2 linked regions of the Arabidopsis thaliana genome follow. The protein of the gene in region 2 interacts with the protein of the main gene of each other region in a pairwise test. Each region holds a gene or a part of one and is shown on either strand. Other genes may lie near its edges. The genes, in order: LRB1 and HB6.

Evidence for each region.
Region 1: the proteins of HB6 (region 2) and LRB1 interact in a two-hybrid assay, tested with the Arabidopsis thaliana proteins (one study listed by BioGRID).

Annotation. Positions count from the first base shown.
Region 1 is NC_003071.7:18,993,194-19,000,629, reverse strand, and holds LRB1 (BTB/POZ/Kelch-associated protein), read right to left. Parts: upstream 4,986-7,436; 5' UTR 4,520-4,985; coding exon 4,264-4,519; intron 4,139-4,263; coding exon 4,004-4,138; intron 3,867-4,003; coding exon 3,748-3,866; intron 3,648-3,747; coding exon 3,584-3,647; intron 3,357-3,583; coding exon 3,077-3,356; intron 2,999-3,076; coding exon 2,167-2,998; 3' UTR 1,958-2,166; downstream 1-1,957. Other genes in the region: AT2G46250 (myosin heavy chain-like protein), read right to left, coding at 7,429-7,436. UniProt on the Arabidopsis thaliana protein: May act as a substrate-specific adapter of an E3 ubiquitin-protein ligase complex (CUL3-RBX1-BTB) which mediates the ubiquitination and subsequent proteasomal degradation of target proteins.
Region 2 is NC_003071.7:9,524,259-9,530,700, reverse strand, and holds HB6 (homeobox protein 6), read left to right. Parts: upstream 1-2,855; 5' UTR 2,856-3,088; coding exon 3,089-3,158; intron 3,159-3,237; coding exon 3,238-3,617; intron 3,618-3,745; coding exon 3,746-4,231; 3' UTR 4,232-4,713; downstream 4,714-6,442. Other genes in the region: RIBA2 (riboflavin biosynthesis protein), read right to left, coding at 1-47; AT2G22440 (non-LTR retroelement reverse transcriptase), read right to left, coding at 784-1,229, 1,467-1,791. UniProt on the Arabidopsis thaliana protein: Transcription activator that may act as growth regulators in response to water deficit. Interacts with the core sequence 5'-CAATTATTA-3' of promoters in response to ABA and in an ABI1-dependent manner.

The sequences.
Region 1 (7,436 bases), 9.5 Mb from region 2:
CTGTTCTTCTCTACGCTTTAGCTGTTTTTGTTCAAATTCAAAACTTATAATTTTTCATTCAATTCAAGTAAATGCAAAAGCAAACGATCAAAAATGGCAAAATTTTCACAAAACTTAGAAGATCAATGAATGATAGAGAAACCAAATCACAAAACTATTCGACCAAACAATCTCTATTTGAACCATTTAAGTTACGCAATACCTACAAGAATCCGAAAGCTCCTTGAAGAAGAAACGTAAGCAGAAGATGAAGAAGAAGAAGCTTAAACAGAGAGAAACCCAGAAATTTAAATCGCGAATTCGAAACCTAAACAGCAATTAAACGCATTTTCATCTTTCTCTCTCTCTAAAAAAACCAGAGCGAAAAAGAGTTCAGTTTTTTTTTTTGAGGGAAGGGAGACGCGAGAGAGAGAGAAAAAAAACGGAGCGCCAAGACGATGACCACGTCATCAGACACGTGTCATGAGAATATATAACAGCGTAAACTACGGTGGTGTTTGATGAGTTGGCTCATCGAGTTTAGTGCCAGCCATTTCTTATGTCATCTCTACCGTACACGTGTTCGATTTCTAGTCGCTCTACGCTTCCCTCATGTTTAGATTATTTTTATAGTCGATATTTACCATAGTGTATAATCCTCTTCAAAATCCGTCATCACATTCACACGTCAGTGAAGTCATGTGCAACATAAAAATAAGAAAACTAAACAATCTTTCCAACGAATTTTCAGAATCATTATTTTTGTATGGCATGAAAATAAACACAATTTAACTTTTGCTACTTACCGATGGGCATATTTGTTTATTATATAGAATATTGCTTCGAATAATTTGGATACATGATAAAAATTTGATTAGAAAGAAGGGACATTATGGTAAAATACGAAGGAAGAAAAGACCTTTGACTAGTAGTATCTCCGACGCGGAGAGCACTTCTGTCGACAAAACTAAAGATCCGAACCGTCCATTATTCACTACCGATTCGTATCTTCCAAAGGTGCCACGAGACGACCCACGTGTATGGCCACGTTTTTGCCATCATGGAATCACCATAAAAGGAAAAATAAAAAATACTTTTTTAGTTTATTTTCTTTCATTATTATGAAAACAAAACAATAAAGAAAAGGCCCACAAGCCCGACAACTGCTTCGAATCCAACGGCTGGGATAAACAAATGATCCAACGGTATAAACTAAGCCACGCCAGTAGATAGTTATTGGCATTTAGAGGCTAAAGGGCCAACGAGGCTTTTTTTTTTTGCGTTGGCGTAAAAGAGCTTCTATCCACGAAGTGGTCCCTACATTACAAAATGCGACTCACATGGATGTATCTACGTGTCGGTTATCCATTGGGTGATGTAGTAAATATTGTCTGGGCTCTCTATTTTTGTTTATTTTTATTTTGTGTACTGTAGAAAGAAATCAGAGAGCATAATACTAGTACTAGTATTATTCAACTTAGGTTTTCGGTGACGTAAGCAAAGGTACAGACCACATCAGCTTTGAATATAGACCGTTGATCTCGGTTTCTCGATTAGAAAAAAATCGACGGTTAAGCTGCAATAAAAACGTGTGTTTTATATAACTTCGAATCATCTGACGTGGCCATCAATATTTTGTAGTGGAAAAAAAAAGTGGGGTCGATAAGTCAGAAAAGGAGATTAATCATCCAACGGCTCAAACGTGTCCCGACAAAATGACGTGTCCGTCTGGTAAGCGGATAGTCTTACTTACGCATTTATGTGGGCCCCATGTGACGAGGACTCAATTCCTCTATCCTCATTTCCTAAATTATCCTTGTCACTTCATTCTATTTCCTCGATGTACCATTGCTATAGCCGCATTGTTTGAACTTTGAATATAAAAGCCTAATGTTCACACTATAGGCAATTTAGCTTCATCATTACGCATCGTAGTAGGCCTTGAGCCCATATTTTAAGACTAACCTCAAAAGCTAGGCCCAAATTCTATCTTGGACTATTTATAAAGACCCATATAGAAAAGTAAAAAAATCCAATCAAAGAATTTACAGAATGAGGTACTCTTTAAGCCATACTTTTGCTCCTTAGGCAATTATTGTACAAAGGACACTCGTGGTTAGAGCTGCTACATAACGAGATTATACAACTTAAATGTGACGACATAGAGAGAGAGAGAGAAGAAAACAGTCAGTGCAGGTCTGAGGAACGTTTAATGGTGAGCTCGGCTCTGAGATGGAGAATGCCATTGATGAAATGTTGACTGTCCTCGGCTATGAACGAAGTCCATGGAATCCCGAAAAGGTTTCTGTAACCAACCGCTTTCCCCCCTGTGAATGTGTAGTTTCCTTTGTATTTGCTTACGTATTCTTCCTTTGTACTTTTATCTCTTGCCGCAAATTCGTAGTCCACACCAAAACTCACAGCCCCTTTCTCTTGCATTCCGAGGAATAGCCCAAAGCAGTGGAACGAGCTTTGCTGGTCCATGTTGCAGTGTGCTGAGAGGAAGAAACCTTGACCTCCTAAGTGGAAAGCCTGAGAATAGACTCTTCCTGAAGGGAATAGTCCTGCGCATTCCTCTCGCTTCAAGTCCAGGTACACTACACATTGCGGGCGAGGAAGCTCAAACTCCACCACTTTTACGGGTCTGTATTTGTAAGCCCTCTCTATGAAACGGCGGTTCATGGAGTCCGATCCTTCAGCTGCGAGGATGCGTTGCCTGTGTGGGGCTTCTGCTTTGAAGAAGAGCGCTTCTAATACTTGCTTTGATGCTACTTCATGCTCAAAATCACTGCACGTTAGTACCTTTTTCAGCTTTCGACACGTCATGTATGGGAAGCGGATGTAGAGTGCAAGGCGTGAACCCAGAATCTCTCTACGATCTTCCAATGAACTATACTGTCCCCTTGCCCATTTCAAGACAAAATCATAAACAGCATCCTCAGAAGCAATTTGGAGATCATCGCTCGATAGTATCGCCTCTATTCCAGCCAATGGTAAGGCCATAACCTCATCATGAAACCTGTACAAGATGGTAACACATGAACAAGAATTATACAACACTAGAGTAAATGCATTTCAAACCACTGGAGAGTCTTACTTGGTAATATCCTTGTAGCGCGAGGCAAGGAACTGCTTTGCTGCATCGGTTAGAGGTTGCACTGCTTCAGCCATTAAAACACTAGAGGGCAGCTCAAGATAGAGCAAAGCAGAATCAGGGGTCATGGGCATATTTCGCAGTAGTCTACTACAATACCTCATACAGGAAGCAACCTCAAACTTGTCAGCAGCCATAAGAACATCTAATAAAGCGGGTGCTGTTGTGACACTTAGAGAGTTGCTATACATAAAGTTTAAAAGCTCCATCAAAGCACCTTCCTCTACAATACACATAAAAGTAGAGCATGAGAAATCAACAATGTGGACTCCCTTAAAGCTAATATCGTATATCATATGTAAATCAAAGTCAGCAACTGAGTTAATACAAGAGGCATAAAGAATCCAAAACAAGAAGAAGCCAACAGAGAGCTAGTAGAGAATTGAAGCCAATATAAAGAGATTGGAGAATAGCAGAAATGAATTAAAAGCTTGACTTAAATTGTCGTACCTTGTGCACTAATTCTAAGGGTTACATGTCTTTGTTCTGATTCCCTCATTCCATTAGAAAACAGCTACAACAGGGTAAGGAAAACAAGAAGCAAAAGATAGCATTACATGCGAGATGAACAAGAGCAAACAATAAGAACATAGAAGAAGAAAAAAGGTTAATACCTTGTAGAAAAAGGGGCTTTTTGCGGCCAAGATAGGAGAACTAATATGCAGTTCTTTAACTCTAACAACAGTAGAACAATCAATACCCCAGTTTGGCTCACTAGATGCATCATCATCACCTACAAAAACCATTAATAAACAAAGCCATCACGTTTCAGACAAATGACTTCAACAAAAAACGCTCTTCTGAAAATTGTTAAGTATCACAAATTCAAACCCAGTCACTCGAGAGACAATGTGAAATTTAGAACGGTACCTGATAAAGCCTCTTCAACCATTGCCTCTCCTTCATCGTCAAGATTATCACCACCAGGAGCATCATCCATATCAGGTTGGTTGTTATCGGTTAAAATCTGTTCTTCAGCACATGCCACAATGTCTGAAATCGCAACTGGAAATGCAAAACGTATAAGTTTCTTAAACATTTAAACCCAAAAGCCCTAAACCAACCATAAGAACAATTCATAAAAACAACAACAAAATCTGAGATTCCAACCGATAGGGAATCAAACGTACCACCATTGTCCTTCTTGTTGTCCTCTCTTCTCCTCTTGCGATGACGAGCCCAATCGGCAATACTCGTACATCCTTCAGCATCAGACCTAGAATCCGAAGGCCCACCCAAGATCTCGATCCGGAGCAAACGATCGGAGAAGTTACTGTCATTGAAAGCGAAACCAAAATCACCTTCGGAGGAAGAACCATGGCGAGAGAAATTGGAATCCATCTCCGTCTTAGGGTCAAATAGATCGGTGTTATTGGAACCTCTCATCCTCCTTTTCGAAAACCCTCTTCTCCGTGTCTTCTCTCCGGCGAGAACCGAGCAGAAGAATCAGGATAACAATAAGGGTCAAATTCGAAAAGGTTTTTTTGAGGAACGAAAATGACAAAGAAACACTAAAAAAGTCTTTCTCTGTTTTTTTTTTCTGAAACAAAGAGCGGGTCGACGTTGAACGGTTATGGTAACAGGGCGGTGACGGATAAAGGCTAATTAAAGACAAAGAGGTTCGTTAATGCCAGCCTAACTAATTGTTTAACCGGTTTGGTCTTTTGATTGTAATAAGCACTTTGGTTCTTTTTCCGGTATTTTGCATAAATCGCGTAGGTACGATTTTGATTTTGACTTATCGGATTCGATTTTTAGTATTTGGGGGAAATTTAGCATTTACTTAATTAGAGGAGGAAAAAGGTAATAGGCAAAATTAGGAGTGTATTTAGTTGGAAAGCGTCAAATTTGGTAAGAAGACAACTCGTTCAACAAACGGCAATGCCTTTTATGTCGTTAAATATTCGTTGGAATCAAAGTCTAATTTGGAGTTTTCTTTTAATAAAATACAATTACTTCAACGTTTTACAGACTTTGTTAATTAGATTTTGACCGAGTGAAACTTGGCTATGCAATGATAACTTGACAAAAAAAAAAGGACTAATTTATAAATTGAAATCCGGCCGGTATACATTTCTTCGTAGGCCAACACATGACAAACCAGTTGACTATGTTGTGTACTACTAGGGATCATTTGAGATGATACGACTTAACGTATCGACTACAAGCAACCCAGCTGCTATTATTTCTTGAAACCATCGATGGTATATTTTCTCAAACCAAAACAATTATAGTGTACTTGTTTCGATCTGATCGAAGTTAAACCTAACTTTATTATTGTTCTTGTTTTAACTAAAAACGTATCCAAGACCAGTTTTGATGAATATATTTTTTTCTTTTTTTAGGTGAAATGTCCCCTTCGTATTTACGACAAACACACGACTAATGTTAAAATTAAAACAAGGAACAAGAAATATTTATACATTTGTCAGTTTTAATCTGTATTTCCATTAATATCATATTTTCAAATTGGCACACGAACGTCTTCTCGTAAATAAACAACATTAATATTGCTTCCATGCAAGCATCAACCACAAACACCTGCAAATAAACATGACAACCTGAAAAAAAAAATGCACTAGAGAAAAAGAAAACAAGTTAGATCGAAACCAAGTTTTGAAGAACAGAGACTAATTAAGAGAAGAAGAAAAGGAGCTCCCTTCAATCCAAACGAAGAGAAGAGAATGATATGTAGAGAAAGAGGGAGAATCTAAGAGGTCGTGCAATCCCCTTAAAGTGTGCTTTCTTCAAGCTTTTAACACCGCGCACTCTCTATGAGGAAGACATGAACTCTTAGATTCTGCATTTTAGTTCCTCAAATCTTGTCCTCTTCGTTTTGGAGGAAGGGAGCTCCTTCTGTTACACTTGAAGAACGAATGTCCCCCAAAAAGAGTTTGATATCTTTTTACAATAAAACGAACCAAAAATAAACTATGGAAAGAGGGAGAATCTAATATGTATGGTGATGGATTGTTGAGGCTTATGATGATGATGTGAAAGAACATGTTGTGTTAAGTCGTTTTATAGATGAAAGAGCATCAACCCTAGTCTACTCCTTGGGACGATTATGGAACAAGTGTAAATAAAAAATTGAAAAATATAGAAGAATAAATGGCAGTAAATCTTATTATTATTATTTATTTATTTATTTTGGCAGTAAATCTTATTGTCATTAATTAGAGATTAAACATAATCTTGTTGACTAGATTCTCTTTTAGAGAGAGATACGGTTAGGGTGCAACACTATGGTTTATGGAGTATTTGCAATTCCATTGCATTAAGACTAAAAAGAGAATTAGTTAGATTTCAAATGTCCAAACAATAACTAAACCGTACTTTTTGTATATTGAAGAGAATCTAGGCATTCGTAAGACCATCATTATTGATAGTTTTTTAGGTTAGTTTTTAGATAAAGTAGATCTTAAATTTAATGTTATAATTCAATTAATGGTTAAGAATAGCTCTTATATAAGAGCCAAATCTAATGTTTTTTAAGTTAATTCTTAGATAAATTAGGTCTTAAATATAATATTTTAATTTAATTAATCTTAATTTTTAGATAACTTAAGTATTAAATAGAATTGTTTGTCATATTTGTTTAAAATTTTATGTCATGTATGTTTTAAATTTTATGAGTTGTAATAACTATTAAGTTTTTTAAAATTATAATGTTTCTATTTTTTTTTTCAAATTTTCTTTTTAAGAACTCCAAGTTAAGATTCCACCATTGCATATTGCCTAAATTTCAATCTCTTAACCAAGTTTTTAACTTCAGAATTTTCAAAATCAATTATAAAAATATTCATAAAAACTATATTAAAATTATGCTAAGAAACTACCATTAATGATGCTCTAAAACAGATAGAGTTTGGTCAATCGCTATTACCGACACATCTTTGACTTGGCTTTTTTTTTTTTTTTAACGTTTATTAATCACCAATCAGTCTTCTTAAAACTTGTGGAATTTTTGATGACCAAAGATTTGAACTAATCGGTTAAATTGTCTCTTCTTTAAGTTACATCTTTTTGTTCTTAATTACAACTGCCAAAAATAGTTGACCGGAGTTGTGTTCTTTTTTTTTGTCGAACCGGAGTTGTGTTCAATGTCAATATATGTGAACTGTTGACAAAATTAGCTTTTTCCTTTTTTCATGTGAAATTGGTTTCTGTCACTGGGACAATTAAAATATTTAGTTTTTTTAACGACTAACGAGCATTAATATTAACCACAACCAAATAATTAATCCAACATACATGAGAAGACACGAGTTAATTATTTGCTCGAACCGGAATTATCACTCTG
Region 2 (6,442 bases):
GAAGGCAAAAGATGCGTCGAATCGCACCGGAGAGTAAGCGACGCCATTTTCACCGGAGTTTTGAAGAGAGAGACGACGAGCTTCGAAGAGACTGAACCACCGCCGTAGAATATCACTGTGTGTGTTTTTCGCCGGTGATATTTTTTGGTGTGCTGACGTGGCAGTTGTATAGATATTTTTCCATTTATGGGTAAGCACGAGCGGAACGGCGTCGTTTAGGAATTGAATACGATGTCGTATTAGGTGGAAACACAAATCCCCATTGAGATCATCTTGTGTCGGTGCCTTGACTCGTTTTATTTACGTTTCTATTACACAAAACGTTTTTGATTGGATAATGATTTTCTTCACCAAATTTACACCTTACTTTACAGTTTTCCTCTTTTATTTTTTTTTATAAGAATGGAGCATTGTATCAAAATAGAAAATCGAGTAGATTTTGTTGCATTTTTTTTTTTTTTTCTTCAAACACCATTTATATTAAGTTATCGGGAAGAGACTCTCCGCTAGAGAGAGCCATTTAGGAACCAATGTGCTTACATGGGAAAAAAGGCTATTGCGAGCCCGAGCTTTCTTAGCTAAACAATCTGCTCGAGTATTAGAACTACGAGAAAGAAATCTAATACGAAAAGAAGGGAAAAAACAAACTAAAGAACGATATGAAGCCAATTCCGCTGCAAAAGTCAGCCAATCGTCTTGGTTATCAAGGATAGCAATCAAGTCTGAGCAATCCGAAGCAAAAGTACCAGAAGTATCACCAATAGAGATCATGCACTCCATTGCCTATAACAAAGAGTTAAATTCCGCATGAAGCGGTGATAAATTTCGACGAGTGCTCTTAAGGCCAAGGTGGATGACCAAGTCTTGTCGAACAAGTACCCAACCATGCCCGCTCAATGTGTCATCTACATGCCATGATGCATCGAGTTGACATTCAGGGAGCAAGGTGGACGGGGTCTGAGAAGAACCTACGAACACGATTGGACGAGTGGAATCATCCTCTTTTAGAGTTGCTTGTTTCCAAACAGCTGTCTCTTGAAGTGCCAAAACCAAAGTTTCAGGGGGAGGTTCCCTGAAGTTCTCAAAAACAAAACGATTTTTACTTTTCCAGATATACCAAATTATCCATGGAAAGAGTTCCAACACCTTTTCTCCAATTCCAAATTCTCGGTCACGCCAAAAAAGGAAGTCGAAATTATAGAAGAGAGAGTTTCTAGGGAAAATATTCCCTGAGGTAGGAATAGGCGATAAAGCCCAAATCTGTCTCGAAGGTGGACAATGAAACAATAGATGGTTGATTGTCTCTTCTACTTCTTCGCAACGGGGACAACCTTTATCTGTACCCATATGGCGATATGTCAATCTTTGACAAGTGGCTAAACAACCCGAGATACATTGCCACACGAAATGCATAAGCTTCCGCGTAGTTTTAAGCTTTCATACTTGTGCCTGAAGTGCCGAAACACCTGGTCCCTGAAAAGGGGGGTCACAAGTAGGACGAGAAAGATCTCTCGCGACCCAATATCCTGACTTAACAGTATAATTACCGGATTTAGTGTGAGACCAGCTAAAGCCATCACTCAAGTAGGTACGACTTGGGCGAATCCCTAAAATGAGTGGAATATCAACGGGATCGATCAGTGCTTGGAGACGGTCCAATTTCCACAAATTTGTGTTTTGGTCAATTAAATCATTGACATAGAGTAGAGAATCTCTTATGTTAAGAATGCTCTTTGCAGGCCGCGCTAGGATAGTGGGAATCCATGGATCTTTCCATACGCGAGTCAGCATTCCAGAACCTATGGTCCTCCGAAATCCAAAGACAAGAAGAGGTTTGGCGCATTTTCACCTCTAAAATAAACACAATTTCATGTTGATATTAAGGTTGTTAGTTTCGATCCAAAAGAATTATTTTGACTATAGTTAAGATGATGTTATACCTAAAAAATATAATTTACATTTTATAAAGAAAACAAACTAATTATATTATCAATGGATGATACCGGATATAGGAACTTATAAGGTGAAAAAAATCAAAGAACCAAAAACCCAAAAACTTTCCAAATATATAAGAGAATATAAATATGTTTTGGAGAATCAAAAGAACCTAACCCAAATAAAAAGAAAGCAAAAAACTCACTCTTGTTGCTGTCATCGAGGCCCAACAGCTCTTGTCTCATTTTTGCATTGCCACGAAAGTCATCACCCTATAACTTTAATTTATAAATTTTTTAATGGGTTAGAGAAAATAAAAAACGCATATAATCCAATTATTACAACTTTAACAAATTAAAGAAGACATGATGATTAGATTACCATGCGAATAAGACAAACATATTTTGTAAAATGTTGTCAAAAAAATATCTCTAAAGCATTCATGATTTTAGCATTTAACAAAATAATTCTGATAACCAATTTTGTTACACACTACTATAAAACTTCTAAACACAATATTGTGATGTTATAATAACTTTTACATGGTGAATAGACAATTTCAAAAGATTAATAAAAAGAAAACTCGATTATTCAATTTTTAAAAATAGATTATTAATTTAACACAGAGATTCCTTTCCACGTATAGCTTGAGTGGAGCTGAGCCGATTAGTATAAGCCGAGCCATATTATATCCGTTTGAGATTAATTTTATTTTAATTGATTTTTTAATCTTCTCTTACACGAGTTCCAGTGATACCGGAAGAAACCTGGAGGTAACTGGGTATAGCCGGTGGACCCCCTCAAATTTATTTTAACAAAAAAAAAAAAATCATTTACAAAAGAAAACACCCAAGACAATATCTACTTAACCATGGTTACTTTCTAACCCAACCTTTGAGTTTATTTAAACTGAGAGAAAGTGTGAAACCAAGCTTGTTCATATGGAAAACGCTCATCAACCTCAACAATCTCTCTCCTCTCTCTCTCTGTATATAGAAGAATCTCCATTGTCTTTAATTTCTCTCCATTTCTCTTTCTCTCTTCCTTCAAAGTTTTCTCTTTTCTTGATGGGTTTAAGAGAGTAAAGATCATCAAGTACTATGCATTAAATTGAGAAGTTATTAAAAATTTCGAAAGTAATTAAAGATTGTTGATGATGAAGAGATTAAGTAGTTCAGATTCAGTGGGTGGTCTCATCTCTTTATGTCCTACAACTTCCACAGGTACTTAGCTAATTTTCTAAACAAGTCCTTTAATTAATCTCATCTTTGTTTGCTAATTGTTCTTCTTATGGAATTACAGATGAGCAGAGTCCGAGGAGATACGGTGGGAGAGAGTTTCAGTCGATGCTTGAAGGATACGAGGAAGAAGAAGAAGCTATAGTAGAAGAAAGAGGACACGTGGGCTTGTCGGAGAAGAAGAGAAGGTTAAGCATTAACCAAGTTAAAGCTTTGGAGAAGAATTTTGAGTTAGAGAATAAGCTTGAGCCTGAGAGGAAAGTTAAGTTAGCTCAAGAACTTGGTCTTCAACCTCGTCAAGTTGCTGTTTGGTTTCAAAACCGTCGTGCTCGGTGGAAGACAAAACAGCTTGAGAAAGATTACGGTGTTCTTAAAACCCAGTACGATTCTCTCCGTCATAACTTTGATTCCCTCCGCCGTGACAATGAATCTCTCCTTCAAGAGGTATAAAAATTCAACCTTTTTGATAAAAGATTGAAACTTTTGTTGATTCAAAGTTAAAAAAATTGAAACTTTTTACCAATCTTGAGATTTACAAGAGAATTGAAACTTATGGTTTTGGTTTGATGCAGATTAGTAAACTGAAAACGAAGCTTAATGGAGGAGGAGGAGAAGAAGAAGAAGAAGAGAACAACGCGGCGGTGACAACGGAGAGTGATATTTCGGTCAAGGAGGAAGAAGTTTCGTTGCCGGAGAAGATTACAGAGGCACCGTCGTCTCCTCCACAGTTTCTTGAACATTCTGATGGTCTTAATTACCGGAGTTTCACAGATCTACGTGATCTTCTTCCATTAAAGGCGGCGGCTTCTTCATTCGCCGCCGCAGCTGGATCTTCAGACAGTAGCGATTCAAGCGCTCTGCTGAATGAAGAAAGCAGCTCTAATGTCACTGTGGCGGCTCCGGTGACGGTTCCAGGAGGTAATTTCTTCCAGTTTGTGAAAATGGAGCAGACGGAGGATCATGAGGACTTTCTGAGTGGAGAAGAAGCTTGTGAATTCTTTTCCGATGAACAACCGCCGTCTCTACACTGGTACTCCACCGTTGATCATTGGAATTGAAGCTGAAAACACCACCGGAAGAGATTTTGGATTGGATTAGATGCTCTTTTCTTCTCTGTGGAAAAAACAGAGGAGGGCAAAATGGGAATAAAGTTAAAATTGAAGGGTGAAAGGGCAATTAAGGAAGGGTTAAGTCTGGGCGGGAATAATGATTTAGGGTGAATTTGTAATTATGCTTTTTCTCTAGTGATTTTCGTGCACTTCTTGTAATTAAGGATCATCAGATCAAAGAGAAATTGAGAAGGGGTTAACATGTCAAAGGCAAAAATTCAGCATGGGCTCTTTAAATTACAATTGACCCTTGAAACCTAAATTATACCACTTCTGACCCTTAAATCAATTTTTGAATCATAAAACTACAGTGTGACTTCGTGTATTTAGTTCTAGTGTATTATGGGATTTTTTTCAAAGAGAATGCACCTCAAAGTCTCAGCTTTAAGTCTAATGTTTGGGTAAAAAACACACCGAACTTCAGATCCAAAACCTCTTGATAGAAAAAACAAAATAGATGTGTTATACACTTTTTTTTTTTTTTTGAATCTGTTAAATATACTTTTAGTGTAGTTTGTTTTGTGATTTGAATTAAAACTTTAGTATAAATCAATTTATTACATTTTCGATTACCGGAAAGTATTCATGTCATTAAGGTTTATTTAGTTCAAACTAATTTTTTTATTTCATTCTGTCTTATTTGACCTATAAAATCTAATTTAGCTTAAAAAGGTATTGTCATGTACCACTAATTTATAATTACTAACTTATATACTTTAATTAGTGATATAAGGTGAAACTTAGCAGTAATGACAACAAATAAAAGATGAAGATATATACTTAAAGGCGGTAAAAGATGATAATAAGAATCCGACCAAAAAAAAGATGTGATAAATAAAAAATAGATTGTACAATAAGTTTTAATAATATTTTAAATAATCATAAAATAAAAAGAAATTTGTTTTAATATTTTCTTACCAAAACCTCAACATAATATAGTAAAAAGCCAATAATACAAGACTTTGTACCGTCAGTTTTTTTATGATTTATAAGACCTAGATTTATAATATAATTCAATACCACTGTTATTTACTATAGCTTTGATTGATAATTTATTTGGGGGAGAAACTTTGACAAGAGAATTGGCACGAGGTTATGAAGATTTTTGGAGAAAAAACATTGACAAGACGAAAAAGTTGTTGCTAAGATACAGCTTCCAAAATGCGATTTATGCCATCAGAAATGAGCGAAACAAAAAAAAAAGACATGGAGAGCAAACTTCCCATCTGGAGATGCTAGCAAAGATAATAGATAAACATGTTTGAAACCGTCTAAGTACCATGAAGTGTGTTAGAGTAGAAATGCATACAAGCAAAATTTAAGTCTGGTTTGCGTCTATGCACTAGTGAAAGAAGTTGTGTCTCATTTAAAATGTTTCAAGTAATTGGTAATTATTTGTAAAAATGTGTATTTTTTTGAATATAATTTAACACTAAATTCAAAAAAGTAAAAAATAATTTGGGGTATACCTCTTAGCATCTTATAGTGATAAGTTTTTTTTCTTAACAATATGCATTATACAGATTTAAATTGATGTAGTAACACAATGACTTCATTAGTAAAAACCTAAAAACTACTTCATTATAGAGGTTAAATTCCTCAAAACTGTATAATGTTATTATTTAAACACTATCATTAGGTTTGCTGTTCAGATTTGATTTGATTCGAATTCGAGTTGTCTCGGTTTGTGTAACCAACAGTGTATTGATTGTTAAAGAAAACTAATTATGCTTAAAGGTAAACCGGCAAAGCTTTGGACCACCTCGAATAAGATCATTATAATAATAATACCGGAATCTTCTAATTAATTAGAATTCTTAATGCATCTTTGATTCTTTATATCTTTTTTACTGTTAGATCAACTAAAACATGTCGATGATCAGATCTTCCTATAACATTACTGTGTTAGATTTAACAGTACGATGTATATAATTTCCTGTGTTTTATATTCAGTTATTCACCTTTCTATAGTTTAATCACAAAGCAGGTTTCTTGTGATTGGGCTAAAGACACATTTATGTTGTGAATTGTTTGCTCAACGCATACAATATATCCCAATATACCTAGAGTCGAAGATAGGGAATAGAGTCTAGCTAAGAGATACTATAGTACATGCTACATCGAGGAACATAGATAATCAATTTAGACTATTAAATCATT